Linked DNA regions of Xenopus tropicalis. The protein of the gene in region 1 purifies or fractionates together with the protein of each later gene. This does not show direct contact. Links are inferred from orthologs where the notes say so. Each region holds a gene or a part of one and is shown in the gene's direction. Other genes may lie near its edges.

Evidence for each region. Proteins that work in one complex are often made in the same cells at the same time.
Region 2: the proteins of hnrnpm (region 1) and ddx39b purify together in Homo sapiens (affinity purification with mass spectrometry; 4 studies listed by BioGRID, with this or other methods). This does not show direct contact. The link is inferred for Xenopus tropicalis from reciprocal best matches to the Homo sapiens genes HNRNPM and DDX39B.

The regions. Positions count from the first base shown.
Region 1 is NC_030677.2:92,211,208-92,214,992, forward strand, and holds part of hnrnpm (heterogeneous nuclear ribonucleoprotein M), read left to right. Parts: coding exon 1-218; intron 219-1,322; coding exon 1,323-1,476; intron 1,477-3,027; coding exon 3,028-3,077; intron 3,078-3,293; coding exon 3,294-3,354; intron 3,355-3,785. UniProt on the Homo sapiens protein: Pre-mRNA binding protein in vivo, binds avidly to poly(G) and poly(U) RNA homopolymers in vitro. Involved in splicing.
Region 2 is NC_030684.2:74,199,340-74,203,124, reverse strand, and holds part of ddx39b (spliceosome RNA helicase DDX39B), read left to right. Parts: intron 1-358; coding exon 359-542; intron 543-1,301; coding exon 1,302-1,420; intron 1,421-3,785. UniProt on the Homo sapiens protein: Involved in nuclear export of spliced and unspliced mRNA. Component of the TREX complex which is thought to couple mRNA transcription, processing and nuclear export, and specifically associates with spliced mRNA and not with unspliced pre-mRNA.

The DNA.
Region 1 (3,785 bases):
GCATGGGTGGTCCTGGACCAATGGGAATGCCAGGGCCAATGGGAATGGGTGGTCCAGGTCCAATTGGGCTGGGTGGACCTGGTCCTCTTGGAATGGGTGGCCCAGGACCAGTTGGGGGGAATATTCCACCTAGCCTGCTTAACAACCCAAATATTCCTAGGGAAGTTATCCATGCACTACAAGCAGGAAGACTTGGGAGCACCGTGTTTGTAGCCAACGTGAGTAAAAGTATCAACTATGACCCTTTAATCAAATATATGTTCTTTGTTAGGTGTAACATGGATGTGTGTCTTGTGTAATAGTCTACCATAATCTCCACTAACATGGCTTGACCTAGTAGAATAAAAATAGCAGATTTAAGCATCTATAAAATTTGTGTAGTTGGTTTATTGGGGGCAAACAGCTGCAAATGCGTTATTTTTGAGTCTTGACAGTAATACTGTTGGGTAGGGGGGGTAATGGATTTATGAATACATTTTCTTATAAGTTCGCAAACCAGCCTGAATTACAGGGTTTGAAGTATGCTGTTAAGATCCTAAGCATTACAGTTACTGTATGACTGCAGGTAGGACATTGAAAGCACTTCCAGAATTATTTGTCTCAATAGCAGACTGATTGTAGGGGAAAAAAAGCTCTCCACATAATTACAACATAATTTTAAGGTACAGTTAATTTAACTTTTATTTTGCAGTAAATAATTATGCTAGCATTGATAACTTGCTGTCAAATACAAGTGCCTGTGGTTAAGGCTCCCTTTGTCAGGATAACAAACTGCTAAATATAATATTTTCCCAACCCTATCCAGAGCAAAGCTTAACACATTGTGCTTATATAACCCCGCTTTGGCAAGCCCAACTGAACAAGCTTGTTGCTGGCACAGAGTTATTCCAGGGGAGAATCACTGGATAACCCCCCACCCCCCTGGTCCCTCCTGTTATACACAGTTCAATGTTTTTAGTGCTGCCCAAATTTTTAGTAAGATTCCAATAATTTCAAATGGCATAATGGGCTGTGTCTACTTTGCTTTAAATCAGAAATTTAGCTTTTATTGTTTCAGCATCCCCTAGTATTAAATTAAAATTGACTGCCAAAGTGTCAAACCTGTCCAGGTATAACTTGCATACTTGTCTCAAAATCATCTTTCCCAGGGTAGGCCTCCAAAGGAATCGGTTAGTTGTAGTTTGCAATCACTTGGTATCCTACATATTGCTGGGAGAACTTTTTGAAATCTGAAAACGTGTTCCCTTCTGTCCTACAATAGATTCCCTTTGCTGCAAACGGAGATCAAGCAATCCAATATTGTGTTTTGTTTTTTTTTGTAGCTTGACTACAGTGTCGGCTGGAAGAAGTTAAAGGAGGTATTTGGAATTGCAGGCACTGTAGTGCGGGCAGATGTTTTGGAAGATAAAGATGGAAAGAGCCGAGGGATTGGTACAGTTACATATGAACAACCTATAGAAGCTGTTCAAGCAATATGTATCCTTTCAGTCAGACCTATTATCTGTGGTATTTTATAGCAAGTCTTAAAGAATAAGTAAACCTGTTTTTTTTTTTTTTTTTTTTCCCATCAGTAAATTTTTTCTAAATGGCCTCCAGAATTACCTACCTTTGTCCCAGCATTCTGTCTGACCTGGTTCCTTAGTTAGAAGTTGATGGTTTCCTTTGCTTCCTTGTGCTGAGTGGAGCCCTGCCTCCACTTCCTGGTCTCTCATCAAAAAAAAAAAAACCTGCTCATGCACAAACTGGCTCCTGCTGCCTCCAGGCATGCACAGAAGGCTCTACACTCGACTACAGTAGTCGAAGTGTTGAGAGAACTGAACAGGAAGTGGGGGCGGGGCTTCACTCTGCATAAGGAAGCAAAGGAAACCATCAACTTCTAACTGAGGAACCAGGTCAGACCGAATGCTGGGACAAAGGTAGGTAATTCTGGAGGCTGTGTAGTTCTTTAAGTGAAGAAGGATCTTCCTTAAAGGCATTCTGTTAGGGCTGGGCGATATACCGTTTAATACCGAATACCGGTGTGTTTTTTTTTTTTCTTTTTTTTTTACTATATTCATTTTTCAGATACCGCAATACCGGGGTGTCGGGGTACTCACCCGTGCGGCCCGGTCTCGCGCGCCTCCTTGCGTGCTGACGGCGCCGGTTCTGCGCATGCGTAGGGGGTTTTTAAAGCTATCAAACGCCGCCTCCTGTGCTATGTTGTCTGCGGCCTTGCCTGGGAAACTAAGCCTGCCTGATTTACCTTACGACTTTCTGTTGCCGATCCTTCGCTTGCCTGACTCTGATTTTCAATACTGCAGTAATTATTCTCTAATTTATTAGGAAATGGGGTTAACACCTAATCATGCATGGAAAAAAAAATACCGTCAAATACCGTGACACCGATATAATTTTGAAAAATACCGTGATATAAATTTTTGGTCATACCGCCCAGCTCTACATTCTGTCATCATTTGTATGTTATACTTTTTCTAAATTACACTGTTTACATGGCAAATAATTTACAACTGGCTCAAAAATAAAATTAACAGTAGTGATGTTGGTCTGTTGGCAGCCATGCCAGTGCATTGTAGTCTGACTTTCAGAAAAACCCAGCACTACACATTGGAACTGCTTTTAGGTAGCCTATTGTTTCTCCTACTCCCATGTAACTTTAGGAGTCTCAAGCTGGACCTGGATCTTACTGTAGAGTGCTATTCTGATATCTACTGGGAGCTGCTATCTTGCTACCTGCTGGGAGGGGGGCTGATATCACTTCAACTTGCAGCTCAGCAGTAACGTGTGACTGAAATTTATCAGAGCATAGGTCACATGGTTGTGGCACCCTGGGGAATGAAGAAAATGTCTAGCCCCATTAGAAACTATTATAAATTAAATATAAAAACTGTTTTTGAAAAACTGACTTCAATGCAGTATTCTCCTGGAGAAGCTCTATTAACTTATGTGTTTTGGGGGGGGGGGGGACATGTTTTCCAATGACCGAATGTAATGTATTACATTAGTGAATTTAACTTAACTGCAAAATAGCAATGTTCAATGGACAGCCTCTCTTTGACAGACCTATGATGGTGAAAATGGTAAGATTGTATTTAATTTTTTTTTTATTAGTACTCATGTAAATTGGGTCTGTGTGGTGTTTGGTTATGTTAAAGCACACTGTTCTAAATTGCAGCCATACGCATTGCGACCTGCTCCTTTGGCGGGGTCACCATCTTCTCCTGATATGGCCACCTAAAGTTGTGCATTATCTGGCTAATTCGATTGTTTAACATAACAATTTTATTTTACAACAGGATGACAAATCAATGCCCAAAGGAGACCTGTTCCCTGCAGATCGTCCACCACAGCTTCCCCGTAAGTAACAGATTAAAAGGTTTTCCCTCAATCCTACTGTGGTTACCCATAAGGAGAATGAAGTTTGGTGCTAGTGCATGTTTCTTGTATTGAATTTTTTCAGAAATACAGGATAAATGTACACCCCTAAGGCAACTGGAGCATTGCTCTGTGCCAGTAATTGCAATGAAAGCATTTTAAAAGTGCTGTACACGGGAGACCGGCTAGAATGTAAATCTGCAGTCTTCAGTGGAAACTTCATGCACCTGCGGGACATTGCAGTGACGCGTATGCCATCCCACTGGCGCTTTATATTGTAGCCGGTGGGATGGCATTGCGGTGAGATTAGTTGCCCGTGACGAGGGTGAAAACACATGGAGCTACTTAGTAGCGGCTACTCATCACATCTGCTTAATGCCAGAAAATACCCTGCCATAGACAAAACTAAGAAT
Region 2 (3,785 bases), on another chromosome or scaffold:
GCTCACGGGTATGAAAGGTTGCGGATCCCTGCCTTAGGGCATTCTCATTCTTTTTTCTCAGCAGATCATCCACCAGGTGTGAAGTTACCCTTACTCCCTTTGGCACCTATTTATCCTCCTGTGTCAGAACTCAACCCTCTGACACATCTTATCCATTACATGCCTTCTAAATCTGTGGCTCTTTTGCAGCAACACAGTGCAGTGTAGGGCAATGGTGCCTAATATTTTAATTACTTTAAAACACTCATTTTTTTTAGTGTTATTGTTTCTTTAAAGGTATTTGACTCTCTACTGTCATTGCTTTCCCCTGTTTTTCTGTTTTTTTTCCTTGTCTTTAAAATTACACTATGTCTTTCAGGTGGCAGTATTTTTTGGGGGGCTTGCTATTAAGAAAGATGAGGAGGTTCTGAAAAAGAGCTGTCCCCACATTGTGGTGGGAACACCAGGGCGAATGCTGGCGCTTGCAAGAAACAAGACTCTGAATCTGAAACACATCAAACATTTCATCCTTGATGAGTGTGACAAGATGTTAGAACAGCTAGGTGAGTAATTAAATGCAATACATGCCTAAATAAGCCAAAGGCAAAATGTCTTTCTTTTTTGGATTTACAACCTTCTTTAGGGAAATATACCACAGGAAGAAGTATATTTTGAATATTTTGTGTTTGTCATATGGGTTCTTATATTAAGGTGAATACAGCAGCCCTTTAAAGGAAATGTAACACTAAATTTTTTTAAGTAAAAAAGCTATTTTACCCTGCACCAATAAATGTCCTATCCTGCAAACCACTTAGTTTTTTAAATGCTTTAATAGAAAATACCTGCTAAAACTTGGCTTCCTGCCAATTGAACTATGGCGATAAGGCGAAGGAAGGAGCTGCATCCACTATGCGACGATCGATTGATCGAGCCTAGCCTTCTTTCTGTATAGGAAGGAGTCAGGCTAGGCTCGATCAATTGATCGTCAAATAGTGGATGCAGCTCCTTCCTTCGCCTTATCGCCGTAGTTCAATTGAAAGGAAGCCAAGTTTTAGCAGGTATTTTCTATTAAAGCATCTTAAGTTGCCTTGCAAGGCAACTTAAGATGGCTTCAGAAAACCAAAGCGACGCATGTTTTTCCATGGGTGATTTACACTGGTAGGAAAGCATTCAGGAAAGTAATTGCCCATGCTGGAGAAGATTTATCACGGAGCGACTAATCTCCTCATGTGTCATGTTTCCTTTTTTAAAGTTGAGATGGGTGGAAATTCCCCTCTCATTCACTGTTATTTACTCTGTTTTTCTTTTTCCAAAACCCATAGACATGCGCAGAGATGTACAGGAAATTTTCCGCATGACACCACATGAGAAGCAGGTTATGATGTTCAGTGCCACACTGAGCAAGGAGATTCGCCCGGTTTGCCGCAAATTTATGCAAGATGTAATTACCAACTCCTCATCTTCTTCCTCCTCCTCCCTCATTCCTCAAGCAGCCCCTGGCTGACAACGCTAACTAAGGGACTGTTTTTGAAAGAAGCACCAAGCCAAACTCAGGCATTACTACCCTGTGTGGCACTGAAACAACTTTTTCATTTTTTTGTTCTACACAAGCCTAAGTGCAAGTTGGGTCACGCACATTTCCCATTGCTGCACTTTTTAATTTTCATGTCCCCTGTCATGTGCTACAGAAGTGACACATAGGCTAAATACAAAAATGTTGATGTGACTAAATCATAGCATTCAACCTGCCATAAACTGGTGTGCTACAATAACACCAGCTAGTCACTCCAGAAAATTGTCACTATCCCTTATGATGTGTCACACCAAATACAAATATAATTACCAAGCTACAAATGGCTCTCTAGCAACACAACATCTTGAGAGTCATACATTTATTTGACGCACATGTGACAGCTTGTGGCCTGTAAAGCAAAGCACCATACTGCATTTTTTTTTACACCAAACTAAAACCCATTTTTGGTTTCAAATGCCAGCTTTATCACATTCTAAACAGATTTTGTGACACAAGCCAAAACTGTTTAGGCTCCCTCATTGCAATTTTTTTTCTGGCAAATCCTATCAATAGATATCTTTTTGCTAATTCTCTGATGTTTATCATCACAAGAGTGCCTAGCCTTAAAATGGCGCTCTATGATTTTTAATTTTTCCATGCAAGAAAAAAATGCAGCTTATCTTTGTGACTCCATCAACGTGTCACATAATTATTTTTTTTCCGTAGTTCTGAGCCAAACAGAACCACATTATTGGGACTTTTTCATTCTCTTTAATTTCCTGATCACTGTTGATCAGTGACGAAGGAAAGATTGAATGTTAAAGTTCCCTCAGATTTACCTTTAGTATTGGGGGCTAGTGAAATACTTCTATACCAATCAAAAGAAAAAAATGCATGAACAGGGAAAAGCAGAGAAAAAGCAGAAAAAAACTGATATTAAGAAAGTGAAGCTTACCTTCCAGAGTATGAACTAATATTTATAAGTAAGGGATCAGATACACTACATAAAGATACAGATTGTTGGTTGATATAGCAAAAGAATTGGTTATTGGTGTGATATAGCGCAGGTAGAGCAGAAACAAAAACTAAAGCTGTGTAAGCAGAGGGTGTGGAAATGTATGTTAGCTATAGATGTCATTCAGGGACTAATATAAAAGTGGATAAGGGGTGGGGTTGATTAGAATGACAAAAAGGAAAAACAAGTAGACTGCAAAAAGAGAAAGTTGGGTGGAATGATTAGCTACACAAATTATTTAGATAACCTGCCAACTGAAAGAAGATTATCTCTGCATGTTACAGAATTAAGAGAGTGAAAAGGGCTAAAACTCTTGGCTATTAGAGAAATAGAAGTTGTCATGTAAGCAAAGTGTAGTTAAAGGCACACCATGTTAAAAACAAACCCATTTTCTTTCTAAGGCCGGACTGACTCTACATTAGGGGTTGATCAATAATGATTATTGGTTTTATGAATTAAATTGCTTCAGAACCATATCTTCCTGAATCAATTAAATTCAACTGAATACCCATGGAAACCCATGCATGTGGTTCATATAAATTACGGATGCATCGAATCCAATTTATTTGTATTCGGCCGAACCCCGAATCCTTCATGAGAGATTCAGCTGAATACCCAACCGAATCTGAAATTGCATATGTGCGGTGAAAAAATTTCAACTTCTGTGTTTACATGACCAAAAGTTACGAGATTTTAAGGATTCGGGTTTGGCCAGGAGCGTGGATTCGGCCAAATCTGAATCCTGACAAAAAGGCCGAATCTTAGCCAAATCCCGAAATTGAATCTTGGATTTGATGCATCCCTAATATTGATATTGATTAAAGGGAAATTAAATATAACCATTGCCCATAGCCTAGAGTTTGATAGCTCAGACCGGAAGTTCTTTTTGGGATCTGAGATACCAATTCACTCTAGGTAGAAATAATTATAAAAAGTGATTTTTGATCAAATTAGCCTTAAAATTTGGTGAACTTGATAGCCTAATTTAACCAATCAATCAATAAATCAATCAAAATTCTATCAAAAATGAAATGACTAGGAATCTTACCAGAAACCATCAGGATTCCCCATTCAAACTATAAATACTAAATACCACCTATATAAGTATATGCATCTAGTCACCGACTAGTTGGCATTTTATACTGTATTAGAGTGCATGAACAGATAAATATACCTAATGTAAACCTGCACTTTCCAGACGTGTATGTACAATAAGCAAAACTTAAACATATTGAATACAACTTAATGATGTTAGAGTAAGTTTGCTTTATGATATAT